Linked DNA regions of Alligator mississippiensis. The main gene of each other region encodes a partner of the protein of the gene in region 2 in a complex. Links are inferred from orthologs where the notes say so. Each region holds a gene or a part of one and is shown on either strand. Other genes may lie near its edges. The genes, in order: CCDC153, DRC7, IQCD and FBXL13.

The links.
Region 1: DRC7 (region 2) and CCDC153 share a complex: the UniProt entries of both Homo sapiens proteins name them as parts of the nexin-dynein regulatory complex. The link is inferred for Alligator mississippiensis from reciprocal best matches to the Homo sapiens genes DRC7 and DRC12.
Region 3: DRC7 (region 2) and IQCD share a complex: the UniProt entries of both Homo sapiens proteins name them as parts of the nexin-dynein regulatory complex. The link is inferred for Alligator mississippiensis from reciprocal best matches to the Homo sapiens genes DRC7 and DRC10.
Region 4: DRC7 (region 2) and FBXL13 share a complex: the UniProt entries of both Homo sapiens proteins name them as parts of the nexin-dynein regulatory complex. The link is inferred for Alligator mississippiensis from reciprocal best matches to the Homo sapiens genes DRC7 and FBXL13.

What each region holds. Positions count from the first base shown.
Region 1 is NC_081839.1:31,191,865-31,199,184, reverse strand, and holds the start of CCDC153 (coiled-coil domain-containing protein 153), read right to left. Parts: upstream 3,004-7,320; 5' UTR 2,957-3,003; coding exon 2,889-2,956; intron 2,325-2,888; coding exon 2,245-2,324; intron 1,708-2,244; coding exon 1,645-1,707; intron 1,109-1,644; coding exon 989-1,108; intron 604-988; coding exon 511-603; intron 276-510; coding exon 145-275; intron 1-144. UniProt on the Homo sapiens protein: Component of the nexin-dynein regulatory complex (N-DRC), a key regulator of ciliary/flagellar motility which maintains the alignment and integrity of the distal axoneme and regulates microtubule sliding in motile axonemes.
Region 2 is NC_081833.1:38,303,377-38,311,235, reverse strand, and holds the start of DRC7 (dynein regulatory complex subunit 7), read right to left. Parts: upstream 3,017-7,859; 5' UTR 2,926-3,016; intron 2,109-2,925; exon of another isoform or gene 2,004-2,108; intron 1,768-2,003; coding exon of another isoform or gene 1,750-1,767; exon of another isoform or gene 1,544-1,749; intron 269-1,543; 5' UTR 250-268; coding exon 122-249; intron 1-121. Other genes in the region: uromodulin, read left to right, coding at 1,750-1,767, 6,539-6,605, 7,288-7,455. UniProt on the Homo sapiens protein: Component of the nexin-dynein regulatory complex (N-DRC) a key regulator of ciliary/flagellar motility which maintains the alignment and integrity of the distal axoneme and regulates microtubule sliding in motile axonemes.
Region 3 is NC_081833.1:26,028,025-26,035,303, reverse strand, and holds the start of IQCD (dynein regulatory complex protein 10), read right to left. Parts: upstream 3,008-7,279; 5' UTR 2,965-3,007; coding exon 2,404-2,964; intron 1-2,403. Other genes in the region: TPCN1 (two pore channel protein 1), read left to right, coding at 3,490-3,598. UniProt on the Homo sapiens protein: Component of the nexin-dynein regulatory complex (N-DRC), a key regulator of ciliary/flagellar motility which maintains the alignment and integrity of the distal axoneme and regulates microtubule sliding in motile axonemes.
Region 4 is NC_081827.1:24,344,826-24,352,171, reverse strand, and holds the start of FBXL13 (F-box and leucine-rich repeat protein 13), read left to right. Parts: upstream 1-4,331; 5' UTR 4,332-4,379; coding exon 4,380-4,454; intron 4,455-7,346. Other genes in the region: ARMC10 (armadillo repeat-containing protein 10), read right to left, coding at 323-482. UniProt on the Homo sapiens protein: Substrate-recognition component of the SCF (SKP1-CUL1-F-box protein)-type E3 ubiquitin ligase complex.

The DNA.
Region 1 (7,320 bases), on a different chromosome or scaffold from region 2:
TAGCTTCTGTGCCTGCAGGTCACCACCCTCCTCTCCCCATGTCTGGGAGCAGGAGGCAGCAGGGAACTCCATGAGCTTCCCTGCCCTTTCTGCCGGCACCTGGGGGGTCCAATCTCATTGCCACCGCCCTGCGGGGTGACTCACGTGCAGGATCTGCTCGTACTCAGTCTTCATGGTGTCGATCTTGGCCTGCAGCTCGGTGAGGCTCCGGTCCTTCTCGCCCAGCGTCCGCTCACTCTCCTCCCGGGCCTGCTGGCTCTGCTGGCGGCACACGGCTGCAGGGGGATGGGGGTGAGAAGGAGCAGGGCTGGGGGCTGAGCAGCTGCAGGAGGTAAGGGGTGGCTGGAGTGGGGGAGACTGTGGGAACTGGAATGAGCTGGAGTATCGATGCCCATGGATCATGCTGGGACATCGGGCACAGGGTCTAGTCTGACATCTCTGGCAATGCCTAGCAAGGTGGTGCTGCTAGGGAGAAGAGCCCACCATGGCAGGGAGAGGGGGGATTTGTACCGAGCTGCTCCTGGAGCTGTGTCACCTCGGCCTCCAGGCACTGGATGCGAGTCTCTGTCTGCCGCTGCAGCTCCTGGTACTGCCGGATCATCTCTGCGGGGAGAACAGGGCTGAGCCCGGCTGCCAGAGTCAAGTCCCTGGCTGTGTCACTTATACACCGGGTGCACAGGCCACTAAGGGACTTGCCCGTGGCCACCCAGGAAGCCTGTGGCACACCATCCCCAGCTCCCAGGGCCTGTGAAACCCCATGGCGGGCAGAGCTAGAGCAGTTCTGCAGGGCAGGGAGGGATGGGGGGCTCTGTAGCTAGGTGGGGGTGGCTGGGGGTAGCCTAGGGTGGCATGATGATGGCAGAACTGCTCGTCTTGCAGGGCCCTGCATGGAATGGAGCCAAAGGAAATATGGGGCAACCCATGGCACTGCTCCCAGCCTGCTGCACCCAGCCCAGCGTCCCCTGCACGCCTACCAGCTCTGACCCACCTTCATAAATGTCCCTCTTGTCCTCCCGTGCTGTCTCCAGCTCCTGCTCCAGCTCCTGCAGCCGCAGCTGCAGCCCCTCGCTGTCCGCCTTCGCCTGCCTGGCCACATCCCTCCGGAGCACTGGAAGTGACAGGCAGGTTAGGACCCTGCCCTGTGCTCTCTTCTTGTCGGCTGACCCTGGCCAGAAGCTGGCAGCATTACCCCGGCACAGCTGCCAGGAGCCCAGGTCTGGGGACCGCAGCCACGGGCCCCTCCTGGCGTGGGGGTGGGTGCTGGCTTGGACCCTACGGGGCTGCAGTGTGTGTCAGTGAAGACCCTCAGCTGGGCGACCATGGGACCAGTAGTGCTCCCAGTGGTGCAGGGAACTGCTGTGGTTGTGAGAGTCCCTGGCCCCAGCCCTGGCCCCAGCTCCTTGCTCCTGGGCCAATTCCTGCAGGCGTTCACCAGCTCTGTGGCCAGAGGGGATCCCTGCAACCATCCTGGGCTTGCTGTGCCCCAGGGCTTCCACCACCTCGCAGCGGCACATCTCAGCTGCGGGTCAGTGCATGGCAATGGTCCTAGATGGGGAGATGTCTGTACCACCCTGCCCACAGTCTGCCCCTCCTGTCACCTGGCAGGGCTCATGTCCCCACTGCCCACCCAGGCCAGGGGCTTACCCAGGTGCCTCCTGAGGGTGTCCACCTCCAGAGCTGTCTTCCGGGACTCCTCAGCTTCGCCTGCTGCATAGACAGAGCACAATCACGCATGCAAGACGGAGCATCGTTGGGCATTGGACACCTCCTCCCTGGGCTGGGGAAGCTCAAGTGTGTGGGGCAGGGGTTCAGGGTCCCCCAGGGCTCTGATCCAGAAGCCTTGGCTTTCCTATAGCTTCCATGTGAAGCTGGGGTCTCCCCCAGCCCTATCGGGGCCAGTCCAGGGCTAATCTCAAAACTGCTCTGTACCCACACCACACCTGGGAAATGGGGAACATGGCACTGGCTTCAAGCAGGACGTGCTGGTGCCTGTGTCCCATATACCCCCAGCACTGGGTTTCCCTGCTTATGCTGGTTACACCCCAGTGGGAGGCACGGGGCTCCTACAGGGTGGTCGGCAGCTTGTCCTGGCCCCTGGCTCCAGCTGCCTGCTGCCTCTCATCAGCCAGGAGGGGCTGGGCTGCTTTGGGATGGGGGAAGCTGAGAAGGGACATGGTGCATCCCTGCAGCCTGGGGGGCAGGACCTGGGGAAGGTTTCTGCCCATGCATGGGATTCCCGCTCACCTGCTGCAGGCTGCTTCTTCTTCTGTCTCCCTCCTTTCTTCCCCTTGCCCTTGGCCTTGGGGGCCATGCTCCTGGTTTGTCTGTGAGGAGAAACGGGCAAGGGGTATTGAGGCTCCCCCAGAGCTTCTAGGTGATGCTGCATGGAGGAGAGGCCGGATGGGAAGGCCACTTCAGCCTGGCATTTCCTGCACGGGCTGCAGGCATGGAGGGAACGGAGGCAGACCACGCTTGCAGCTGGGCTGTACCGTCCCAGGGCAGCACGGAAGGTAACCAAGACCCCCAGCAGTCCTCTGCCATGGGGCACTGGGGAAAGCGCACCATCCATCACTCACATCATCCCTCTAACAGGCAACACCTCCCCCAGAGATTGCTGGGCCCATGCCACAGCTGGGGAAACTGAGGCACAGAAAACAAAGGCGGCGAACCCAACAAACCAAATCAACCCAAGCCCTCCCCCCACAAATCCTGACTCCCAATGTCCCCTGCCCAGCCCATAGCCCCCCCCAATCCCTCCCAGCCTCCTGTTCTTCTGCTATTCCTCTCCATTTGCCGCACAAAAACCAGCCACATGCTGCAACAGCTCTGCAAGGGGAAGAGGCTTGTAGATGATCGTTTCCAATGAATCTCCCCCAAACCTCAAGTACCTGGAAGTGAAGGGCTTCTTGCGTGCGAGGCTGCAGATTTCCAGCAGGAAATGTAACTGGCCTGGCATGAATGGCGTGGGGAAAGCCAATCAGCTGGGAAGGCACAGCAGGCTGGTGTCGGGGAGCCTATCCCAGCCTGGGAAAAGCCGGCAGCTTTGCATTGCTAGGCAGCAGGCTGCTGGCTGCTATAGCGACCGGGGAAGCTTGGCAGCCAGGGGCTGGGCTGCAGGGTCTGAGGCAGGCGCAGGACTTGGCAGATCCCACGTCCTTTGCATCCAAGATGCTGGAAGGGGGAAGGCTGTGACATCTCCCAGCATCGCAGCACAGCAGCTGGGCCAGGGTCAGACGGGTTGGGAGAGCAGCCCACAGCCGCACGCCTGCTCTGAGACCCGCGTACACATGCAGAGCGGCAGAGGGTGACACACATGCACACAGAAACAGCTCCCAGGCTCAGATACACATGTGCACACACGCATGCAAGCACGTGGACTCGTGCTTTCTATGTGTGTCACGTTTTCTCCACGGAGGCCTTGCTCCTGCCCTTGGGGAGGTCAGGCTGTGGGGCCAGTCATGCAGAGCCCTGCTGTGTGACCGATTCCCTTCGCCTTTTCCTGAAACCTGTCGGGATGTCTTCAACCTGCTCTTTCCCAGGTGGATGGCGCCTCCCCACACTGCAATCTGCCTTGTTTAGGGCAGAGATGGGAGCATGTGCTTTGCCTCCCCTCCTATGTGGACTGCTCTCCCTCTGTGCCTCAGTTTCCCCATGTGTCAGATGAGGGTGGGACTCCATGGAGCACCTAGGTGACGACTTGAGCCAGACCCCTGGCTGGTGTAGGAGCCTGGCTGCTTGCACTGGTTGCAGGCCCCGTGTGTGTGAGCGAATCACCGGGAGCTTTGCGTGCATGAGAACAGATCGGGACTAAAAAATACATACATCTCAATCTAGGGGTCTAGATCTGGATTTTGTGACTCAACCTCCTCCAAGGCAACGGCACCACAGCTCTGCTCTTCACCTTTCTCCTTCCACAATCTCCCTCTAGCGTGCGCAGTACTGTGGTTTTGCAGGCTCAGGCCACCCCTGATGGAGGGGGAAGGGAACAGGGGAAGCAGAGAGATGAATTACAGCAGGGCTTTTGCTTTTGGCACCGTTGTCAACCAAAACACCCCGAGGGACACCGACAAGCTCCTGCACATTGTTCTTGAGCTGCTTTATTAGCTGGCCGTCCTCGCTGTTGGCTGCAGCATTTGGAGGGAGATGGATGGCAGGCTCGGAGCTCCGTGCTGGGCTGCGTGGAGCAAGCAGGTTTTCTCCCGGACAGAAGAGGAGCTGCATGAAGGCAGATGGGGCTCCACATGGGGAGAAAGGGTGTGTGAGATGAGACCCCAGACTCATCTGTTGCTGCTAATGTCTCCTGGCGCTGTGTCTTTGCTGCCCTCTTGGCACTTCCTCAGGCTTCAGGAGCACACTGATTCATAGATTCATCAACTGTAAGGCCAGAAGGGACCTTGGGAGATCGTCAGGTCCAGCCCCATGCACCAAGCAGGAAAGGCTCTTGCAAGGCATGATTATAGTACCCCACTATGGCTCTGCGGGAAGCAGCAGGTCCTCTCTGTGGGTCTTGGTCGCTGATTTTATGCAAAGCCTGCCTCTCAGGAGAGCTTAACTACATGTCCCATGCTGGGGCAGTGGAGACATGCTCCCACGACTCTTTCTGGCCAGGGCAGTCCTGTTCCCCAGCTAAGGACAGCCTGACTAAGTACCTACCCCGCATCAGGTCAGGGCCAGGGCAGGCAGAAAGTGTTGTGAAGAATTCCCCTGAATGCCCCACCCAACTGGATGAGGAGAGGGAGGACCACACCAGCAAGCCCAAGGCCTGAAGGCACAGGATCTGTGCCATGATGGAAGATGCCTTCTTCAGTCAACAGTTTTCCAAAGCCAAGCGAGCTCTGTCAGTCCCAGTGCGCTCGGCCCCTGGAGGATAATGCCATCGGCCTGGCTCCACTTCCGGATTTTTTTTTAATTGGAAATTTTTGATGCATAGAAAAAGGAACCTGGCTTTTCAAAATAGGGAACTGCTCCTGTTTTGCAACATCTGTACAATAATCTGCTCGCAGCTGAGCAACCCTGGGGGAGGGATGGGAGGCTACTAATGAAGCAACCGCGGTCAAGGAGCTGGGTTGAAGAAGCAGCAAATCCCTTCTTGAGTGCTAGCTCTGTTGCCTTCATAGAGGAACCGGAGCACGCAGGGGATTGCCAAACCAGCAGCAGCCGGGTTTTATACTGGGGCATTCGGTGTGAACAGGCAGAAATCTCTCTGATGAATCCTTTTGTGTTAAAAAGTGGTGATTTGGCTCAATGGGGATGTTGCCCTGATTTGTTTTGCTTTCCCTGAACTGTTTTTCAAGAAAGAAAAAAAAAAAGGGAAAATACCTCCTCTCAAAAAAAAAAATATATAGATAGATATAGATACACACACACACACACACATATATATTTGAGATGTTTTAAACAAAAGACATTGGTTATTTTTGTCGACTTCACATATCCCTCCTACATGTACGTCACTTTGAGTAGGGTCCATTGATAGTAATGCTAAATAAAAAGCTCGAACAAATCCTCCACTTGCTTCTAAACCAGTTTTACCATCATTTGTTGATGTGCCAAAAAGTGTGAGGGTGTTTTGATCTGGGACCGAGTCTTCCCCCCACCACTATAATTGCAAACAAACCTCTTCCCTCAGGTCTTGGCAGGAGCCCCTTTGAAATACATGCACAGGTGGCAAATGAATGGATGCTCAGCCTGGAAACTAGGCTCCTGACAGATTGGCATGCATGTGAAGGACCCAGTGGAACAATTGGGCAGATGTTTGCCTTGAGGTCCTTGGTCTGCATGTCCCCTGCACCTCCTGTCTTGGAGGGCTCTGGGCACTGGCAGCAGCCCTCCGTGCCAATGGGGCTTCACTGCAGCAGGAACTGGGCATGGAGGATTTTGCTGGGATGGAGCATGCATTATGCTCAGCCATTTCCCCCCTTGCAACAGGCAGGAGAGGGCCCGGGTGGTAAAAATCACAGTTAAAAATATCCTCTTTATTTAAATCCATTTTGTACAACTGCAAATTTACATTTGGGGGCTTAACCTTCTTCCCATTTCATGGTCTTCACATAGATGCCGTTTAATCAGCTCTCCAACTCGCTTTCTGATGGGGCAATCTGGGGTCTATGGGCAGACTGCGCTGTGTGAGAAGCCACACGGTCAAAATCCTCCTCAGTGCCAAAACAGACAAGCCCAAGGGCCTCACTAACCTCATTCCTATATGAACATCCCACCTGTGCACCCAGCGGATGAGAAACTACCCCGGGATGCGTGCCGTGGCCAGCAGCTCCCCGCGTGTTGAATTTCCCCAGTGCTGCAGTGCTGTTCCAGCCCAGCTCTTAGCTTGGACCCATATTCCCACACCCCCGGGGGCTCCTGCACAGCCCTTCATTAGGGGCCTTCACAGGCTGTCTGGGAGCTTAATTTGGGGAGATGACTTTTGCAGTGGGTGTATCTGCCATTGCACAGTATGGCAGATGCACTGACAGTCTCAGTCTCCTGCTCGTTGTCTGTGGCAAACTGGCTTTGCTGTAGAGCGAGAGATTTCACCTTGCTGCCGGTTTCTGAGAAAAAGAGGATTTATCCTCCAATGCCGCAGACACTTGTCGCACTGTAAGCACAGGCCTGGGGACCCTTCCTGGGAGTTCATGGAAACCAGCAGCTTCGGGGCTGATCCTAGCTGGTCTCGGCTTTCATGCTCTTGGGCAGGGATTTATTTCATCTCCTTCAAGTCAGAGACTGGAGGGGGGAAGGCATGAACCCCCGGGTGAGTCCCTCCTCTTCCCACCCCAAAGCAATCGGGACACAGCTCATTGGGAAGGTCCAGGGATCCCCCTCATGGGGACTCTGCAACTGCACAAATGGCAACCGGTCAATATTTCACGTGCATTTAAATCCAGCCAGATTTAAAATACATTTTAAAAAGCAATACTTAAAACTGGCAATGATGTAAATGCTATATTAAAATTGCAGATTTAAATGCACAGTTTAAATAGCCCCGATTTAAATGCAGTTTTTCAATTGCACTGATTTAAATGCACTATTTCAATTGTGGGTTTAAAAGCATTGTTTCAGCAGTCCTGATTTAAATGAGATATTTAAATCATTCTTATTTCAATGCACTATTTCAATCGCGGAGTTAAATGCATGGCTTAAATAGCCCTGATTTAAATGTGGCATTTAAACTGTTCATACTTACATATACTATTTATTTTGTGCTGGTTTAAAATGCGATGTTTCAATCATGGATTTAAACGCGTGGTTGAAATAGCCTTGATTTAAAACGCAGCGTTTACAACGTGTTTATTTCAATGCAATCTTTCAAGTGCAGATTTAAAC
Region 2 (7,859 bases):
TGCGAGTGCATTTATATGATTTCTGTAAATCTGATCCAATGGGGAACATATAAGAAATGCAGCATAAGTTCTCATTTCTCTCTCTCACACACACATATATACACACGTGCACCCTGCTTACTGTATGTTTGGAATATGGACTTGGATCTTTGACAACTTCTCCTCTAGGTCTTGGAGTTCATCACCGATCTTAAAGGCTTTTTTCTCTTCCTCTTTCTCCTCTGCCTCATTCTCCCTCAGGGCCTCCATTTTGTCCCCTCAAGGGCTCCTAGGTGAAAAACACTTGCCAGAGTGAGACTGGGAGAGTGGAACTGGGTGCTACAGAAACACTGTTATACTTTGCTTGAAGATGTGTTTTGGATGAGAAGAGCTGATTTATCTCAGAGTGGGATTCTTGGGAAAACCTGATGCTGGGTATGAATTTAATCACACAGTGGATGCTGACTGCAAAGGAGTAAGATATATGGCTGGGAAATGAGTAAGCAAGAAGCCTATTGCTGATTTGATTGATTAAGCTCATTGGAACTGCTAGACTGGATTAGACTTGTGTGATACCTATAGTCCAATAATCTGTCGCTAGAAATGTTCATCACCAGCTGCTTGAAGGAAGAAAAGCCTGCAGTAAGCAGAGACAGAATAAAACTCCCAACAGGGAATTTCTTCTTGATCTTCATTAGTTGTAGCTTGGTTTGTACCGCAAAGCCTGAGGGTTTGGTCTCTTTAAGAATATATGAACGTTTCGGGCTTTATGATGAAAGTTCTGGATGTTCCCATTTTTCCATGTAAATATCCTATATATTTCTTTTTTAAATTCTGTTAAGCAGTAGGCCAAAGTGCTGGAGTCCCATGATCATTTAATAGAATAACAGAATTATAAGGCTTGAAGGAACTACAACGGTTATCTAGTCCAACCTCCTGAACAGGCAGAGGATTCACTATCCTTAAACCATCCCAGAAAGAGGCTTAGGCTTAGGCTCTCCAAAGAAGGAGATTTCACAGCTTCCCTGTACAACTTGTTCCATTATTCTACTGCTCGAACAGTTTGGAAATTTTCCCTGAGATTTGTTCTACACTTATTTTGGGGAAGTTTAGACCCATTGCCATGTGTCCTGCCCTTTGTGGTCAGGGGAAAACAATGTGTCTCCACAGGACGTCTTTCAAACAGTTGAAAACTACTAGCATGTCCCTCCTTGGCCTCCTTTTTTCCAAACCAAACATACCTACTTCCTTCCACCTGTTCTCATACAGCTCACTTTCCAATCTCTTCAGTCCTGTCTAATGTGCTGTTTTGCAGTTGTGTGACTCTTGCGTTAAGTTTGTGCAGAGGGCTCTGAGACCTCTGTGTAAGTGTTCTTCAGTAGAGAATTTTTACATGGAAATAATAGCAGAGAAGCATAAGTATCTCCAAGGACTGTTTCTCTAGGTCAAACTGACCCCAAGTGTGTTTTGGGCTGTGGGGGAGATAGCAAGCGAAAATGAAGACACACACCTCTTTATCAGGCAATGTTTAGCTTGGCAGTATGAAAGGTATGTGGGGAAAGCAGAAGGGTGAGGGCATTTACTGAACTAAGCTAGAAATGTCCAGAAGGATAGAAAGGAAGAAGGGATTTCACACTGCATGTTCTATCTGGGCCATTCCCCTGAGTTCTGCTTCTTCCTGACCTGGCCTTTGGACTCTGCTTTGACCAGACCCACCTGAGTGGAGCTTCTCGCCGGAGTGCACCAGCTCATCTCATCATTGACAACCCTATGGCTGTACATCTCTGGGTACTATTCCATATCTGTAAATCTGTTTCTCTATGTATGTGTTCAGCTTTTCTGGGTCTCCCCTATTTCCCACCTTGCTCCATCTTTGTTTCTATTCATTGCATTTATTAGTTGCATTGCTGAGCCTCTGCTGGGGAACAGGGCTGTGGGCAGTAGCAGGGCTAAAGTGAAAGGGAAATAGTGAGGAACAACCCCCTCCTCTGTCTAGTGTTATGTAGCAGCACTCTCTCCTGCAGGTCCCCTCCTTTGGCTGGTGCAGTGAGAGCTCCCCCTTCTGATTCTATCTCCTGGAACCACTGTCCTGCGCCAACGCATAACTACTCCTTCTGCATTCAGCCGAGGTATGGCCACAGGGGTGTTGCAGATCAAGACCAAAGCTAGGTCAAGCCCCACCCCCTCCCCCAGTCATAGATGATCCCAGTTCTATCTCCTTCTATCTCCCAGGCACTCCTCCAGTGTCTGGCTTCCAGCCCCTCCTTGCCTCACCCCCACCTTTCAAGATGATCCTTCCCTGCCCTGAATACTCCCTCCCCTGTTGTTGTAGTCTAAAAGTCTGGTTTTCTGATTTACAGTTCAGTTTCCCCAAGACTCATGTTGTCTGATAGGGATAGCTCACAGCTGTCTCATCTTTCCGCAGCACAGAGACCCGCTCCCTGCCCTGGGAAGGCTGCACCAGATCTCTTAGCTTGGTCTTCCTTGCTTAGACAGATAAATTCACCTCTGAATATAACTGCTCCCTTGGAGCTCGTATGTGGGCTGAATTTGCCCTGTGCATCAGTCACAGCCTTTCCCAATGCCCTGTGGTGCTCCACATCTCTGCCCAAACGGCTCCCTGCCCCTCCACCAGTGCCCTTCCCCTCCACCGTGGCCCCAACCAATAGACGCTTCCTTCCTCCACAGTCCTGGGGGTCCCCTGCTCCTTCCCATAAGGACACCCACCCCCTTCTTCTCTCCCGGGTTTGGCATAGCCCTTGTCTCCCACTTACACACCTCCACCACCCCAGACTCCATCTCCTGGTGCCTCCTGGGTGCAATTACTGAGCGATTGTCTCTGAGACACCCCCAACCCGGGTGGTAAGCATCAATCCCCCAACAACCAAATCCCTCTCCCTGCAACCCTCCCCCTATCCCAGGCAGGAGCCCCAGGAACAGCCTCACCAGCTTCTCCTGTGCTCCCAGCCTGTTGCTCTCCTTCACCATGGCAACTGTAGTGTCTGGGCTGAGGCTTCTGGGAGTTGTAGTCTCAGTGTTTCTAGTAGTTCCCTGTAAGAGAAAGGAGCCTGACTGGTGGCTTAAGAAAGAGCTGGTGTTTTTCCCATGTAAATCTGCTGCAGAGTATTCATAGATTCATAGATGTTAGGGTCGGAAGGGACCTCAATAGATCGAGTCCGACCCCCTGCATAGGCTTAAAATGGAAAGAAAATTTAAAATCCAGGCCTAAATATTCACAGGCTGGGCTTAGAGCAGGGCCACACTGCATCCTGTGCTGAACATGGTCCTTCATCTAATTTTCACCTCAGTGCTCTCTGTTTACCATTTGTAATTCATTCATCTTGGATTGAGAAATTAGTCCAGGGAGTTTCTCTCCTTCCTTCTACTCAGTTTCAGAATCAGGGTTTTCCTCATCACCTTTTGCCTTAACACACTGAAAAGAAACAATGAAAGGGGCAATGCATATTCACTACTCACATTTTAACATGGATGCATATACTTTATGGGGGGGGGAGGGGAGTCTGTTAATATTAATTTGGCAACTATTTTAAATAAAAAATGTTGAGTTATTTTTCTTTGCTGGTTTCTGAGCCTGTAGTGTGCACTTGTTTTACATTTTCAAGGTTTTTTTTTTCTTCTTGTGAATAACGGCTGAAATTCTTCTTCTGTCTTTTGATTCCAGCAATCTGAGTCTTGAATAATATTATGAACGTAGTGATAAATTCTGATGAGATTATGCTATCTTAAATAATTTTATTTGGTCTGTACTCCATAAACTGTTGGGTTTTATAAAACATTCAGAATCTTTTCATTAAGTGGTTTACCACTGTTTGAGGATTCCCTCAGAGAGCAAAGGTGTAGCGTATAGGAATAGAGTTGTATCTCTTGATATTGCTTGCGAGACTTTCAGTAGTACTTGCTATGTTTTACATTTTACAAACCACCGAAAACCATTCAGAGTAGAAGTATGTATGTAGTCAAACTTTGCATATATTTGCATTGGTAGTAGATTTATTTGGTACCAGTCCATGCCAATGTTGTATCTTCCTAGTCTTGCTACTGGGATCTGTCTTACCAAAACAAACAAAAAAGAATCATGAAGGGGAGAGTGCAAAGACTTCTCTTCATTGACTTCTCTGTGTTATGTCAGGGTCCCTGACCAGTGAGCTAGAAGGAAAGATGTTCATGGGTTGAGATCTTGATGAGTACTTCTCCATTGCCACAATTAAAGGATTGATGCAATCACTGGGGAAGTTTGAGGTGGGGGATGGGGAAGGATCAGCTGTTGAAAGATGATATAAAGAGGCCAGCTGGGTGAAGGGAAACAGAAAAGCGGGCAGTTGTATGCAAGCGAGGTTATAATATCCTGACAATGGTGAGTAAATTGAAAGCTAATGACATTAATATCTCTGTATTATTATTGCTGAAGTGGTGGATTTTTCTTCCTAGGATGTAGCTTCCAAGAAGACAACTCCGTCTTTCTCTTTCGTCATTAAAGCAATTGGCAGGATTTCCTAAATCCTGGTCTCCCCTCATATAAAGGGTCCTGATTCCCCACTGTTTTACTCCTTTTCTAGTTTTTTACACCTAGGCAAGGTGTATGCAAAGAGCTAGAACAGTAGTATTTCACAGGTGCCTGGCACTGATATCAGTGCTTTCATAATGTAACCAGCAGTGGGGAATCAAGTTCAAGGAATGCAGCTGGTTTCTACTTCTTCTGCTAGTCTCTATCAAGACTGGTCTAATTCAGAGCTGTAGGAGTAATGCACTAATAATTGGAGTGTCTCTATACAGTGCTCCATCCATTTATCTATTGTAGTGCCTCTATACAGAGCAAAGTGCAGGGCTTCATAAAGTGAGTGGATGTTAACACTCCTCACTTCCTAGATGGGGAAGTGAGACACAGAAATAAATGACTTGCCCACAGTCTACTGGAGGTGCTAGAATAGAACCTACTTTTCCAGTTTTGAAGCCCTGGAAAAAAGTTTAGCTCAGAGTATACAAATGCTGCTAAATGAGAACAGGAGCTTTTTGCTTTCATGTAAATGACTGCATGAAGCACAGGGCAATGGAGAATCCATCTGATGCCCTCTCCAGGAGCTCATGCTAATGTGGAATAAGATCTCAAATACAGGATTCAGGTTTACAGTGCTCATGTGTGCCAACCCATCTAACTCTTTAAGCAAGGAACTACCCCTGGCATCTGGCTTGATTGCTGTGAGCAAGCATAAGCTTTGAAGAGGAGAAAGTAGCCTTGTACTTTATTGCTTTGTGACATAAATTTAAACCATGTTCATAGCTTTTATTATGCAATCCCTCTTGCCTTAGACTTGTGGAAGGAATTGTAGGAGGAAAAAGATCTCCTTGTAACTTAAACTTACTTATATTTCATTAAAAGATAAAAGTGGACCCTGTACGGAGGAACAACCCTTTCCTTCCTCTCTTGTGAGTGTTTACTAAAGCCTTTGTTGTGTGATTTTGATCAGAGGCTGAGGTCTAAGGGGAGGAGGTCAGTTCCTTGTCATCTGGGTTTATTTTTATCTGTTTCCTGATCTTTCAAGCCCTGAGTCAGTGGAATGGCCCTGGTTGGCTAAGCTCTAAAGTGCTTTTCTGAAAAACAAAATTTGTTCCTGCACTTTGTCTTCAGTAGGATGGGTGATGGGAATGAGGTTTTGCTGATCATGCCTGGAGGGTAGGCATTGACTTGGTGGCCTTCAAATGGAAGAAATAGCATTAGAAGTAGAAGAAATAACATATGAAATGTACAAAAATACAACAGGGTGATGGGGAGACCACATGGGGAGTTAATGACATAGTTTGCTAGAGTAAAAGATGTCTTCCAAAATCTGGGTAAGCTAAGCTTGCAAGACAAAAATAGCTGCATATGTTGAATTAATTAACTCATGAGTGACTGGTGCCTCCTGAATCGGGGGGGCACCCGCAGAAGCTACTGACGGTGGTGGCCCTGTCAGGGGGGCACCAGCACAGCTGACAGTGTCAGTGTCAGCCGTCGGGGGGGGGGGGCACCGGCCCCCTGTACACTCCCTACCAGTTGCCTATGAATTAACTCTAAAGCAGTGATTCTTAACCAGGGTGCCACAACACCCTGGGGTGCCTTAAGATCCTTTCAATAGTGCTGTGGAGTGCCATACAATATTAGCACTGTTAGATGTGCAAATACTTACACATGGTTCAAAAAATAAACCCAGAGATTTCAAATAGGAATCTATAGTGGCAAAACCATTCTAACCTGTTGTGAGCTTTGCAAGTTCTTTGCAGCAGAATTGCTCTATTATTTTCCCATAATAATAATTTTAAAAGGAATGAAAGCTAAGAGCTGCCATTTTCAGAGAGATACCTTGAGACCAACGAGGGGTAGTGAAAAAAGTGGAGAACCATAACTGTAAAGGAAAGTGTGCTTCCTGCCTTCTAGACAGATCAAGTATGTCATCTCATCATGCTATGAGAGGATTCTTTATAACTGACTATCAGCATCTCCACAGATAACTGATGAGCATGCTAGAAATCCAAACAAACTGAAACCTGCTTGTTTTTTCAGGGAGCGACTGTGACATTCTGGATGCTGATGTCTGCCCTCTGGCTGGCTGGCAGTGAGAGCTACCATAGTGAGTCTCTTTAAATGACGTCTTGAGGGACAAATCCAGATAAAATATGAAAAAGGAGGGTGAAATCCTAATTTGAAAGGATTGATTTCAGGAAGGGAGGAAACAGGAGGAAAAACACACAGAAATACAGCTGTTACGCTAAAGCTTTGAGAGCACAGTGAAATCATTCTCTCCTCCTGGCAGTAGGAAGCCTACTACCTGCCAACCCAGTGGTGACAGTTCTTCAGAGGCTGCAAAATCATCACATTCACCCTGTCTCTGAGCAAAGCAAGTTAACTCATAGGAGCACCATGCTAGCGCAGCTGGATAGTTCCCAATACTAGAGTTAGTGCATTGAGCTCTACACTGGTCCATGCAACATGCAACATGAATGTAATTTGAGATTAGATGTTCAGGGTTTCAGCTCAAACAAGGGAAGATGGAGGCTTTCTTGGCGGGTGCTCAAGAGTGACTGTATCTTTAATTTCTGATGCCTCAGCAGAGGTCAGTCATTGACATAAAGATTGTTTGGGAATCTAAATGGTGACTTTAAATAAGAGAGACTCTGTTTTTGCTTTAAATAAATGTCCCACCCCCTGCTGAGCAGAGCCTTAACTCAAACCTGGGCATGAGTTGACTGGAGCTTGCTCCACTATTACAAGTAGTCATTCTTTTAAACACATGCATCTTCCCTCTGATGTAGCTGATTTGAAGAAGCTACATGGCAGAATGGGAGAAGCTGTCCTTCGTCCCAAAAGAAGTCCACGTGTCTGCTGGCCCAATCCATGTAAGCACCAAGGAGAATGTCAGAGAGTTGAGGAGAAATCACCCTGCATCTGCAAGCCGGGCTTCACTGGGCCATTCTGTCAAGGTAGGCCTAGGGAGATAGACCGGAGGGTGGATGTGACGCTGGGCTCTGCATCAGCCTACTCACAGGCACTGAACCAAAGTCTGAAGGCAGGGTAGAGAGGCACTATATAGACTGATTGAATCAGCGATGCATAAGTTTTTGTGAGTAAGAGCTCACTCCTTTACATTCCATTACATGTCTCCATCAACTACTATGAGGAAAAGACTTGCTGAATTAGGAGCAGCTACTTACAGTGTTATGGGGCAGGTATTTGATATGATGCTGATATCTTTTCCAATGGCGGTGAAGGCTTCATGTGATATCTGTGCTTGTAATAAAAGTATTGCCTTCTACAGTAAATGAGGGAAAATAATTTCTTCCTTTCCACAAGAAAATGTGGGTGTCTGCCAATCCTGGAGAGGGGA
Region 3 (7,279 bases), about 12 Mb from region 2:
CTTTTATTAGACCAAGTAAATAGTTGGAAAAATTGTTCTTTACAAGCTTTTGGGCACAAACACCCTTCTTCAGGCACAGGGAGAGTCTGCTGGTGTTTGTGTACTCTCCTGGGTACAACAGAAGCTTAAGCCGATATGCAAAATGCAGGTCTGTGAAAATGCAAATGCGTGGCTGGAAAGATTAGAGGGATGGGAGTTAACAGGTGTAAGACAGGTATGGGGTGTGGGGAATGTTGACCTGGTGACAGACTATAGCTGGTAAAATGTAGAGGTTACCTGGGGTTATCGGATGTCATGCAGGTTATAATGTGCCATAAATCCAATGTCTATATTTAGCCTGCCATCTGATAACCCCAGGTAACTCTCTACATTTTACCAGCTATATTCTATCACCAGGGCAACATTCCCCTCTTCCCTGCCCCCTCCCCCTCCATACCTGTCTTGTACCTCTCAACTGCTATCCCTCTGATCTTCCCTGCCACACATTTGCATTTTCACAGACCTGCATTTTGCATATTGGCTTATGCTTCTATTCCACCCAGGAGAGTACACAAACACCAGCAGACCCTCCCTGTGCCTGAAGAAGGGTGTTTGTACCAAAAGCTTGTAAAGAACAATTTTTCCAACTATTTACTTGGTCTAATAAAAGATACCACATTTAGCCAAAGTACCTTGTCTGTCCGGGTATGACCAGTTTTTTTCCCACTGTTCCTCTCCCATTTGCAGACTCCAAAATTTAAGATCTAGGAAGTTCTTATTCAGAGGCTGTAACCCTGACTCTTGTGCTCGAGCTACTGATGCCCCTTTCCTCCAAGAATTTGTCCAGTCCCTTTTTGAATCTGGCTCAACTGTCAGCTTCCGCATATGGTGGCAATGAGTTCCACACTTTAATTACACACTGGGCATGTCTACATGTGCTTTTATGCACACCTAAACTGAATGTGCATTAGCTTAATACACATTAAGGTGATTTAGGTGCGTGTCTACACATGCATTTGCTAAGGCGCGTTAACGTGGGTGTGTGGACCGACTTGGGACTAAAGTTAGTCCCAAGTCAATAGGTACACACCGCATTAATGCGCATTAGCATGTCTTTGCGTTCGCTAATGCGACTTAGCTATTCATGTATAAATTTGATACCCACTTTATGCAGGTATCAAATTTAGGTTTGAATATCCCCACATCACCATTTTTAGGTGCGTTAAGGGGCGCACGTCTAGATGCGCCCCCTGAATGTGCCTTATATACTGCACATTAAATGCACATGTGTATATGTGCCCACTATGTGACAAAGAACTTCCTTTTGTTCATTTTCAACTTACTACTCTCTCATTTCATTTCGTGACCCTTAGTTCACATGTGGATGGTCTACATTTTTTGTGCGATTCAGCAGGAAATTGTATTATATAACATATACCAGGGGCCTTGTAAGCTCCAGCAACCTCCCCTTTATGAGAGGCAATGGGTGGATTAGCTTTGTGGTTAACCAGTTTCCTGGCAGTGCCCCGGTGTGCTGCTAGCCAGTTCTCCCAGGTTTGTTTTCCTGATTGGAAAAAAATGACCTGTACAGATTTTCATAGAAGCAAAAAGCTTGCAGCGATGATGCTGGCAGCCAGGGGGCCCTAGAGCACGCAGTCCAGGAGAGAAGTTAGCTGGCTTTTTTTCCTTAAGTGAAGGGATCGGCAGGGTCAGGAAAAAGTAGGGGCAGGGACTTTATGCCCTGCATAGAAGAGTCCTTCAGCCTCCCCTGCCACCCTCCCCTTAGCCAAGAAAATCTGCTTCTATGCTTGCCTGCATTCAAGTGCTGCAGTTCAATTCAGGCAGAGAACAAGCCAGGAGCACAACATGCCTCCCAAGTGCTTCATGGCTGGGCTTGTTCAGCCTGAAGCACTCAGGGGGCGTGTTCTGCCCCCTGCTTGGTTGGGAGGGGGACGGAAAAGCAGCAAAGCACACTGGCTGCCCGTACATAAGTGCCGTCTCCTGGGAGCCATTTCCCTCGGGCTGTCCCCAAGTTATTCCTGTCCCAGAGCAGCCACTTTTACTCTGGGGAAAAGAAAAAAAAAAGAATTACAAACTTGTGTACACTCCTGGTAGAGAACAGAGACTCTCCCTGGAGAAACTGAACATCAGTCCCTTAACAGAGGCCGGCCCAGGTCAAGCAGCAAGTCTGCGGCATCTAGGGCCCTGGGACAGCAGCCTCGGCGCTGCGCCGTTTATCGTCCAGCCCCGAGCGCTCGCGGGGCCGGAAGCAAAGCACCCTGGGACGGTGGAGGCCCCCCAGAGACGCTCTGCAGGGAGCTATTTTGCTCCTGAGGGGCCGTTTCCCCCGGGGCAGAGGCAGGGAGGTCTGTGCCGTCCACTCCTCTGCCCGAGCCTGAGCCCGAGCCCGAGCCGGCCCCGCACCTCCTCGTCGCGCCTGTGGAGGGCGGCGGCCAGATCCGCGCGCAGGACCGCCACGGCCTCGGTGTTGCGCTGGTCCCGCAGCGACACGTCGGCCGCCAGCCGCGCGCGGGCCTCCTCCTCCCGCGGGCCGGTCAGCAGCCGCTCCAGCAGGAAGCCGCGGAACTCGGTCAGGGCCCGCACGAACAGCTCGTCCGTGAGGTCGCGGGCGTACACCTCGTCGCGCACGGCCTGGGCGGCGCCGGGCTGCGCCTGCAGCAGCCGCGTGATGCAGCGCCCCGAGCGCTGCAGGCTCCGGCCGGGGCCGCCCGCGCGGCGCAGCGCGTCGTGCTCCGCCAGGGCGCGGCTGAGCGTGGGCCCGAGCGCGCGGGACAGGTCGCGCAGGTTGGCGATCACGTGCGGCAGGAGGCTGACGTGCTCCGCGCGCGCGATGGTCTGGTCCAGCACCGCGATCACGCGCCGCGTCTCCATGGTGCCCCGCCGCGGCCCGGCCTCCGCCTTTGCCTCCGCCTCCGCGGCGGCCTCCGGCATCTGCCCGCGCTGCCGCCGCACCGCGGCCGCCATGGGCGTCGCTGGGTTGCTAGGGGACGGCGCGCCCAACGGCTCGCCTCGTTCTTCACCGGGAGGCGGGACCGGACTCCCTAGGCAATGGGAGACGCCGGCTTCTTATGATGAGCGCGACCTGCAGCCAATGGAAGGCCAATACGGGATGGGGGGGCGGAGGAACCCAGATTGACCACCTCCGGGAGCAGAGAAGATGCCGCACGGGGATTGGCGAGCCGGCAGTCGCCGAGAGCCTATCAGCCAGCGGCTTGCGGGCATCAGCCAATGGGTGTTGCAGGGGGGCGGGCTGGGGCAGGCTGAGGCTAGGCGCCGGGCGGAGAGGGGCCGGGCGGGGGCCATGCGCGGGGCGCGAGGCGGCGGCGGCGGGCGCAAGGCGCCCCCTGGGCTCACGTGAGCGCGGGGGCCCCCTGGCGGCGGGCGGCCGCTCCGCGCCTGCCTCGACATGCCCCGGGCGGCGGTGGCGGTGGCGGCAGCCTGCGCGGGCGGCGCTCGGGGCCCGCAGCGCTGAGCGCGGCCGCGGGGGGCATGGCCGGCAGCCCGGACGACGACGTGCCCCTCATCCTCACCCTGGAGGACGGTGGCGGCCCCGCGGCCCCCAGCGCCGCGCCGGCCGGGGACGGGCCGCCCGACCACAGTAAGCTGCCGTCCCGTCCCGTCGCGTCGCGTCGCGTCGGGGGCGGGCGCGGGCGCACCTTGTGCCCCGGCCTCTGCGTGTGTGCAAGAGAGGGGCCGGGTGCCGCAGTCCGGAGCCCGGGGCTTGGAGATGGCGCTTTCCTGAGCGCGTTTGTGCGGAGTGGGGACCTCCTCGCAGGCGCCCGGCGGGGCGGCGGGTGGCGGAGTGCGGCGCCGCTTCCCGCGAGGAGGTGCTCGCGCGCGCGGCGCTGCCTGGCGTGACGAGTGGCGGTGCTGCGTCCGGGCGGGGCAGGCGGCTGACCATGAAGTTATCGGGAGACGTCGGTGTTGGTTTTCTGGAAGTGAAAGCGAGGGATGGGAACGGCGGCATTGCACACTCGGGGCACAGATGATTATATACCCATAGGGGGGTGTGTCCGTATGCGTGTATGCGCATGTCTGTAGGCATCCAGGTTGTAGCCCTATTAGTCTGGGGGAAAAGGCAATCAGGACTCATAGTAGAGATGATATCTTGTGTTGGACCAACAAGATTTTTGCAAAAAAAAATCTTTAATTGCAAGCTTGCGAGGTAATTTGCATCATCGCAGATCCTCACAGGAGGGGAGAGGCTCCAGACCAGCTATGAGCTGACTGCCCAGAGGAGTTTTCCATCTATTGACTCCTCTGTGAAATCCTATGAAATATGAACTTTCATTTCTACCCAGGAGAATGTCTACAATCTTTTCTCCAATGCCTGATGAAGGGTGTTTGTGGCTGAAAGCTTGCAGTTAAAGACACTTTTTTTGCCAAAATCTTGTTGGTCTAATAAAAGAGATCATTTCTCCTAGGAGTCCTGTGTGTTTATATGCACACGCACATTTCTGTATATATCATTGTGACCTGAGTCTGCAGTGTGTATGTGTATGCACACACGCACAAGTGGGGGGAGACCCACGGGGGGTGCACGGATGCAGTCGCAAATCCCTTTGATTCCTGTTCCCCACCCCCAAATTTAAAACTAGTTGCCTGAAAGTGGCAGCAGCATTTCTAGTGGCAGCAGTGCTGAGGGAGTCACTTGACTTCATGGCTAATTCATATCTACCCAAGTCCTTCTAATCTCTTGATTCCACAGATGTTAACGGACTCTTTCTTTTTTCTAATGGTCTTGATGTTCCACTAATTAAACTAGGTATCTAAGTTGTAGCCGTATTGCTCTAGAGCAGCAGTTCCCAACCTGTGGTACGTATACCACCACTGGTATTCCAACAGCCTGTCCGTGGTCTGCTTTAACAAATTTATTATAATTACTTTATATGACAAAAATGTTCTGGTGGTACTTAAGGTTGTATCATTTTTACACTGGTGATGTGCAATCTGTCAGTTTAGGAATCACTGCTGTAGAGGCAAAAAGATCAGAACTAATGGTAGAGGGGATATTCTTTATTAGATGTTTGCAAAAATGTCTTTATTTGTAAACTTTCAGCATACTTGTCACTTTTAGCACAAGCACCCTTCTTCAGGTATAGGAGAAAAGACTGTAAAAGTGCTTCTAGGTAGAAATAAAAGTTCATATTTCATAGGAGAGTTGAAGGTGTGGTAAAATCTCCTGTTTGAAACAGTTCATTTTATGTAGATTAGGCTCAGAGAAAAGTTGGAGTTGTCTGCTTACCTCCAAGTTTTGGCAAGTAGGATGTAGAGTCATATTTCCTTCTGACTTATGATGTTTCATATTTCACAGAAGAGTAAAAAGATGGCATGCTCTTCTGAGCAAGAATTTCTTTTGTGGTAAGCTGGGCTCTGTGATGATACAAATTATCTCAAACAATGGCAGGAGCAGGGTCTCAGGTTTCAGGTGGTAAAACTTCCTCCTTGTAAAATTATGAAGATTTAATTTTTAAAATAGGCTAAAATTCAATATCTTCCATGTGACAGGTATCCAGGTTGTAGCTGTATTGGTCTAGAGGCAAAAGGAATCAGAACGCGTGGTAGAGGTGATATCTTTTATTAGACCAACTAGATGCTTGCAGAAAAAGTTCTTTATTTGCAAGCTAATTGAGCTAGCCTTCCTTCTGCAATTCTGCTGTCTGTTAGCTGCTTCTGGTAATGTAATATGTTTTTCTGCTTAGATATCATTCAGAGTATTAATATTAGTCCCCCAGCATTCTGTGACTTTACTGGATAATTTGGGTGGTCAAATTTGGTGATTTGATGTATAAACCTCTCTGTTCTGTTGTGTGTCTTTTACAGTAATGCCAGCTCTCGTAAAATTATCGCGAGAGTTGCAATGTCTAAGTAAAATTAAGTTCGACTCATGATCTTGCATCTCAAGTCTCACCTCAAACTCTCAAGTCTCTGGATTTTTCCTTCTGGCGTATCTCATGCCTAACCAGGTCGAAATTGGCTGCAAAGTCTCTGGGAGCGCGGGTGGGGCCTAGCTGCATGGGGGTGCAGGGAGCCCTGCCAGCTCAGCACCAATCCTGGGGCTGCAAAGAGTGGGCGGCTGCTCAGGGCGTGATTCAATTTGGTGCAGATTTGGCGGCCAAATCCCCAAATCTGAATCAAATCGGAGGACCCTTTAATTTCTCTGAATCGAATCGGAACCCTCTGAATTGATTTGGAGAGGTTCAGCGATTTGGACATAGACACAGCTTTAAATGTTTTTTCTACATACCTCTAGGTAGCAGGCAGTTCATCAGTGTTGCAATACTGGGGCACATGGAGGGTCCCACAGGAGTGCAGGAGGGGCTCCCCAGCTCACTCGGCAGCAGACCTGGAAGTGGACCAGAAGCACTTCTGGTTGACCTCTGGGTCTGCCGGAGAGCATGCTGGGGGGGGCCCCCCTCAGCTTGGCGATTGGTGACTCCTGGGTCTGGGGGAGCACCCGGGGTCCTTCTGTGGCCGATTGCCAAGCCAAGCGGGCATGGGGGGGCGGGGACAGCGCGCTTCCCAGCAGACCTGGAAGTGGACTGGAAGTGCTTCTGGTCCACTTCTGGGTTCACCGCCGAGCACGGGGAGGGGGGGCGTCATGCTCCTGTGGGAAACTCCATCTGCCTCGGCTCGCAGTGTTCACAAGCTGCACCTGGTACCTCAAGGTATGTAGAAAAAACATTTAAAGCTGATTTTGAAGATTCAATGCTAATTCCGAGATTTTGATTCAGTTGAATTGAATCGGGGATAGTGATCAGAATCAGCAAATCAAATCACTGTCCCCTATTTGGGCTGAATCCATATTGAATAGGGCCCATTTTGCACACCCCTAGTGCATGCCTCCTCTTAAAGACCCCAAAGGTAGGGGAGAACACCACCTCTCTTGGAAGCCCATTCCAGATTCTGGCAACCCTTACCATGAAGAAGTTCTTCCTGATGTCTAACCTAAATCTGCTCTCTGTCAGTTTGTGGCTGTTGTTTCTAGTTACTCCAAGGGGTGACCTGGTTAACAGAGCATCTCTTCCTTGTTGCCCCCCCCCCCCCCCGGAAGAATTTGTAGGTGGCCGCAAGATTACCTCTCAGCCTTCTCTTGCAGAAGCTGAAGAGATCCAGGGCCCTTAATCTTCAGGCCCCTAACCATACGAGTGGCCCTCCTCTGAACCCTCTTGAGGTTGTCTGCATCCCTCTTGAAGTGCGGCACCCGAAACTGGACGCGGTATTCCAACTACAGCCTGACCAATGCCGCATAAAGAGGAAGTATCACCTCCCTGGACCT
Region 4 (7,346 bases), on a different chromosome or scaffold from region 2:
CACTTTCAAAAAAAGTATATTCAAACCCATTGCCAAGGGTCTTAAAAAACCAGTGGGTTACAGGACAGATGTACAGCAGTACGTATAGAGAGGCAAACAGCTCTTTGCTCGGAGACAGACAAATCGAAGTGACTCCGGATTCAGTCGCTGCGCTGGAGCCTGCGCTCCGGGATCGTCCCGGCAGAGAAGAGGCGCGGAGCTTCCATGCACCAAACGCCGCGTGCCCGGAACCGGAGCTGGGCTGCGGGAAAAGCCTGGAGCCGGAGCGGCGCCCGCCTGCCCGCCCGCCCCTGCCACCCCCCCGGCCCGGGCCGGGCCTCACCCGAGCGCCGCTCGCACGCACCGCCCCGGCCGGAGGTGCCCCTGGGGGCCGCGGCCGCCCCGCCGCTCCTGGCTAGCCGGGCCAGGCCATAGCAGGCGCCGGCTCCGAGCACCAGCGCCGCCAGCCCCGCGCGCCAGCCCAGCGCGCCGCTCTCCCCCATGCGCGGCCGCGGGAGCCGATCGGCCCCGGCCCGGCCCGACCCCGGGACACGTGCGGCGCCGCCGGAAACCGAGCCCGGGCGCCGCCTCCCCGGCCCGCGCGGGAGGGCTTTGCTATTCCGGGGCCTGTGAGCGGCACCAAGGGGCTGTGTTCAAGCAGCCGCTGCCGTGTTAGAGATCCCGTGCGCGGGGCAGCCCCCCGGCCGGCCGCCCTGGGCTCTGAAGTGCTGCAAAGAGCAACCGGGGTCTCCACCAGAGGCAGCTGAACGCCAGCACCGCCCCCGCCGAACGGGGACTCCGTGAAGCCCCCCTGTGCTCCCAGCAAGCTGCGGTGGTCTCAAGTTGCAGCAAGGGAAGCTGGAGCTAGATATTAGGAGAAACTTTCTCACTAGGAGGATAGTAAAACACTGGGACAGGTTATCCAGGCAAGTTGGCCACTCCCCCTCCTTGGAGGTTTTTAAGACCAGGGTGAACAAAGCCTTGGCTGGGATGGTGTAGTTGGGGCTGGTCCTGCTTGGAGCAGGGGTCGGACTAGATGTGACCCCCTGAGGTCTCTTCCTACCCTCATTTTCTATGATTCTGTGACACAAAATAATGGCTATTTTGATAAAAAAAAGATTTTGTGAAAGTAATCAGCTCCTGTCATTCCTTATGCCAGTTCCCTGCCCCTGTTTATCCCTGACATCTGTCAGCAGAGGGAGGTCCTTGCCTGTGCTTACCTTGAATGCACCGGGCTGCAGCCCCTCCACCACCTCCTCACGGCACTCCTCCTGAGGCTTTACCTGCACATCTCTCTGCACCTTTCACGCGCTCCCTGCCTGGGGCCTTCTGGTCAATCTTCTGGCTCCTTCCTGGGCTGGTAGATGGCCAAACTTGCCATCTACCAGCCCAGGAGGAGATTCTGGCCAGGAGGAATCCAAGCACTGGAGCCATTTTCCTGTCACTCTGCACATCTCTGGGCAGAGTTTCACTGACTGGCATCCACAGTCTCCTTGGAATCGTTCAAGGGGCAATGGGCACTGGCAGGAGTTCTTTGCTTGGTGTCTCCACTCAATTCCCTTCATATGAAACTGACCATCCCAGTCACACCCATTCTAATTTTTGTTGTTCCAAGTACTCAATTGTTATGTATCTAGTGGCCTCCCCAACTGAGGGATGCTCATAGCTCTTTTAGCTGGCCTAGGTGCACTGTTCTCTATGTACATAAAAATAGGCCGCTACCTCTGCTTAGCACAAATGCTTCACTATTTTCTGCAGACAAGCTTCTTTGGGCAAAGGTGATATCTTTTATTAGACCAACTAAATCATTGGAAAAATTGTTCTTTACAAGCTTTCGGGCCCAAACCCTCTTCTTTAGGCATAGGGAGAGTCTGCTGTTTGTGTGCTCTCCAGGGTGGAATAGAAGCTTGAGCCAATATGCAGGACTATGAAAATGCAAATCTGTGGTAGCAAAGATCAAAGGGGATGCCAGTTCATAGGTGCAAGACAGGTGGGGAGGGGGAGGGGTGTGTGGAAAGGAGGAATGTTAACTTGGGGACAGAATGTAGCTGATAAAAATGTAGAGAGGTTACCTGGAGTTATCAGATGGCAGGCAGGTTATATATATATGACTTAGTCCATGATTTTTTGTATCCAGTAGATTTATGAAGTGAAGTTCCTAGGCTCATCTATGAAAGGTGTTCTACAAATTCCCTTTGAGGATTAGAACTGAGAAATTGGAGAAAAAGTGGTTGTCTTTTGAGAAAAGTGACCCCACAGGTAACTGGGTATTTCTGTCTTTGATAGATTTTCGGTGTGCGTTGATTCTGGTACACAGTTGTTGTTTGGTCTCTCCTACGTATTTTCATCAGGGCAGTCAGTGCATTGGATGAGATGTTTTATGTTTCTGGAGGTGCAGGGGTAAGATCCAGGAATGGTGATGGTTCTGTTGTGGGGTGTAGTTATTGTGGGAGGGCTGGAGATGCATTGGCAGGTTTTACATTTCTTGTCTAGGCATGGTCTGGATCCATTTGGTGTGCTTTGGGCCATAGACGTTTGCTTCAGGTGATGAGGTTGGTGAGGTTCGATGTCTGTTTAAAGGCTAGGATGGGTGGTTCTGGAAATATCTTTTTAAGAGTTGGGTCTTCTTCTGGTATGGGTTGCAATTGTTAGAGGATTTTCCATATCCCCATCCATGGAAGGATGGTATGCAGGGGCAACATGTAGGGGGTGCATGCGGGTGCATGTGCACCCCCTGTGCATGGTGGTGCACCCCCAGGTGATCCATGATCACCCCTGGCCACTGCCAACACTGCCGGCGGTGCCTGTGGGTGGTCATCAACCCATGGCTGGCACTCGCCACCCCCTTCCCCCCGACAGTGCTGGTGGCATCAGTGGGAGCTCCCTGCTCACCGCCGCCACACTCCCACATCTGCCAGCGCAGCTGTACCCCTTCAGCCACCAGGGGCACACACTGTTCATGTTGGTATGTCATAACTAACGGTGTGTGGCTATATGCAACTATAACCAACACCCCTGAAACATGGAAAATATCACTATTTTTTTACACAAAACCCATGACATCCAACAGCTAACAGGGAGCAAGAAGAGGGAGGAGGTAAACACACTGTTTATTTTACGGATTTCCTCCCCTTCCTCCTGTATTTAATTGTTGTACCCTTACATAAATACCTAGCAAAACAGTGGGCAAGAAAGATGCAAGAGAAGAGAGTTTTAATAAGTGAAGTGGCTAGATGCATGCTTTTAAAGGAATCTAGTTCTTTTGGAAAATATGTATATAAACACACAGTCAAGGGACTTTAAAAAATCTCTTAAGGACACATTTACAATATGCTAAAGATACAGATCGTAAATCTTTCTCTTGACTTATAATCACAGTGACGTGTTAAAGTACTCTGATTTTTTTTCAGGTGGGTTTTACTGATGACATTTTTAAAAGTGTTGGAGAAAGTGGCACGATCTACATCTGTGAACTCTTCATGTGCAGTCCAACCATCTCCTCATTAGGTTGTAAACACTGTGGGACCATCTTTTTGTGTTGCATTTGTACAGTGCCCAGCATAGTCAGGTTCTGGTCAGTCAGCAGGACTCCTAGATGCAAAAATAGATAAATTAAAAAAAATTACAATGAAATCAATATTATATTAATTTCTCAAAGTAGGGCTTATTAATAACAACATCTACTTCCATACGGTAACAGGGCAGGCAACGGTTTGTCACAAGCATATTGCAATCAGATCAAAAACATTCCACGAGCAGTTGCTTGTTTGTTTGTTTTGTGCTTGTCCATTTTGTGAAAAATAAGGAAAATAAATAATTTAAAAAAGTATATAGCATATGAACAAATCAGATCCTACCCCTTTGCATTATGGATGGTGCTTAGCAAGTATTAGTGAATCCTCCCTGTATCCCTATTAGCTTGACAGTCCGTCTCCATTTTACAGATGGGAAAACAGAGACATTAGACTTTATGGCCAGATCCTGAGGAGGTCAACAAATACATCCTCCCGTGAGCAAAGGTCGCCCAAGGTCACAGGAGTCCAGGACGGAGCCCAGAGGAGGCTCCCGCTTTCTTTCCTTCTCAGCGTTTGTGAAAGGCTGCAGCACCCACGTCTCCGGGCACCCAGGCCCCGCCCGCTCCTGCACGTCATCCCTTCTGCCCAGGGGCCACCAGAGATGGGCGGTTTGCCACGCGACTCCGCTGTGCCCGCGGGGCAATCGCCGCCGGCTCCCCTCGCTCAGGGGACGCAGGCGGCGAAGGGAGGGAGCGGCGCGCGCACAGCCCCGGGGGGCGGGGCCCGAGGGACAGGGCGGGGCGGGCGGGGGCTGCAGCGTGCGGCGGGGCGCGTTGCCGGGCAACGGGCGGCCGCGGTGAGGGCCCGGCCCGGCCCGACCCGGCCATGTCGTCCCTGCGCGGCGCCGACCCCGCGCTCCGCGGGTACTTCCAGCGCCACGGGCTGCCCGACGTCTACGAGGTACGGCCCGGCGGGGGTACCCCGCTCCAGGGCGGGGGTGGCCCCGGCCCGGCCCGGCCCGGCCCGGCCCGGCCCCTGTCTCCGCCTCAGCGAGTCCAGGGGCCTCTGCCCGGGCCGGGAGTCCTGCCTTGCTCACACGCAAGCGCTGGCCTGGCCTGGGGCGGCAGAGGCCAACCCCCGAGCATCCCCGCCGGGCCCGGGGTGTCACGCTCACCTGTCTGCGCGGGGGGCGCGAGCAGGAGTCGCCACCTCTCGTACAGTTGCAGCCGCGTATTTAGTAGATGTCCCAGACATTAGGGCCAGAAGGGACTTTGCGACATTGTCGGGCCCAACCCCCCGCCTAAAGGGCGGGAAGTCAGCTGGTGTCACCCCGCTGCCAAATTTTTGGCGAGCGGGATGACAGGATGCTGCCGGCCCGCGCCTCGGACATCCCTGCACTAAGCCCCATTGGTAGTCAAGCTGTGCCCGAGGGTGAGCAGTGCCGGCCCCTATACAACCCTGACTTGAAACTTGCTATAAAACTGCCGTCAACCTGGACACAAGACCTTGCATCCTACCTTGCCTGAAGTAAAGCAGGGGGACCACGGCAGCCAGCATCCTGCTTCTGTCAGGCTGAGTACAGACTTCTGTGGAGGTTAAATCGGGTTCAAAATGGCCACCCGATTTAACCTGGGCTCGTCCCGGTGCCGGCCTGGTGACTGGCAATCAGCGTGAACTGAGACTGCACACAAACCAGTCTAACAACTGCAGAGCCTGGTTTACGATAAGCCTGGATCTACGTAGTATCAAACTTGTTCGATTTAGGTCAAACCAGCGCATGGAACTTGTGTACGCTTTCCCTGCACGGCCCGGGCCTGCGGGCCCCCAGCCCTGGGGCTCCTCTTTTCACACCCCTCCCCCCCTGCACTTGCACTGGGCTATTTTTTGTCCTCCTGGCCCCTTGTTTCCCACCTCACCCACTAGCCATTCCTTTCAACCCCCATCCCACAGCCGCGCCAGGTATAGCTGCTTTTAGCAGTGTTTCCTGCTTTCAGAGCCAAGCAAGTAAGTCTTGGTGTGGGGGGAGGGGATGAAGGGTTGGAGGTGTAGGTTCGCTGGGGGGAATCAGGGGACTAAAAGCCCAATCCCCCTAAATCCCCCTATGAACCCCGCTGGGCAGTAGGGAGGACTGAAATTGGCCGTCAGCGGCGTCTGTGGGCTGTCGCTGCTCACCAACTGCTGCCGGCTTCTGTGGGCAGTTGTTGCTCATCAATCGCTCCCCCTCACCACCACTGCCGCCAGCAGCATCTGCAACTGGTCCCCACTCGATGCTCGCCATCCCCCTTCCGCCGACACTGCCGCTGGCATCTGCGGGCACTCCCTGCTTGCCGCTTGCTGCCGACTACAAATGGTTCCCCCCCAGTTTCAGGAGGCACCAGTCGTTCATGGACCCCACAACCTCCCTGATCTCTCCAGACACTTCCGGACCCTAGCAAAACCCTGTGGCTTGTGCCTGACTGCTCCCTACCCACGAGTCATGCCCTGGCCTCTCACCCCTTGAGGGTTGCACCTGTCCCCTCCACCTCACCTGCAGCTTGTGCCTGCCCCCTCCACCCCTCATGGGTTTCACCTCCCCCCCATTCCCCAGTGGACTCCTGATCCTCCTGAACCCCCGTTGGCCCCCCATCCTGACTTACCCGATATCAGGCAGTCATTTTGAACTGATTTAACTTCCCCGAACGTCTGTACTTAGCCTAAAAGATTGTTACTGGACACTCAAAAGATACCAGGAAGAGGCCCTACCTCCCCTGCCGCCACTAGAGGAAGGTAAAACTTCCCACAGTTGGTACCAAGGTGTCTATGGGTTAAAATTCCTTCCTGACCCCAATTATGGTGATTAACCTGACCCTGAGTACAAAACAGAGAAGATTGCAGCCTCCTTTGTCTTAAATGGTAGAAAAGTTGTTTTTGGAAACTTCAGGTGGAAGACTATAGCGTGCAGGGTAGCAGAGCACTCTCCTCAAGTTGCAGTACTGCATGTTGTAATTGCCATATGGCCAATAATTATATCAAATAATTATAATATCAATAATTATATCAAAGATGACTATGGCAAATTTTAGAATATGCTAGGCCATATGTTGGTCACCCACAGTGTCAAAAGGGGTTTGAAGACTTGTTAAACTGCTGAGCTAGTGAGTAGAATTGCATGCCATAGTGCTAAGGAGCATAGGGGAGACATGGCTTACTTGAAGTCACAAGTGTTCCAGGGATAATAAAATAAATACACACTTTTGGCTTTTGGATTGTTATCTGATCCTCCCATCCTTTCTCTTCTCTCAGCCAGTTTTTTCCTTTTGAAGTTCAGTTGAAACTATGCAGAAGTCGTATATCAGTTTCCTTAATAGTAACAAATTAGGACACTGTGTACAAATAAACTGCCAAAAATAGACCCAACTTGTAGCCAGTTATTGCAGCCTGGATTTCCATGGGAACATTAATAAAGAGGTTTTAAACCAGTAAAAATAACTGTAGAGCAGCACCTCCCTCAACAGTGGTAAAGCATCAGGGGTGCACGTACACCCCCTGGGAGCGCTGGTGCACCCCCTGACTGACTGCGCTCCACACTTAGGCAATGGGCAGGGTGGGCACCGGTGCCCCACCCATGAGCGCTGGCCAGAGAGTGAGCGCACTGGGTGTAGTGCTGCGGTCGCTTCCAGGAGCACCATGGCCGCTTCCCGGTGGATGAGTTCTGCTGCGGGGGGACTGCCCCCACCCCCCAGTCAGCAAGATTGGCCATGCGAGGACCCCTTCCCCCGGTTGCTGACTGGTTGCTGGTGGGGGCACGTGCCCCCCGTGATTAAGGTGACACCAATCTCCCATGTCCCCCAGTCCTCCTAAGCTTTACTTGGT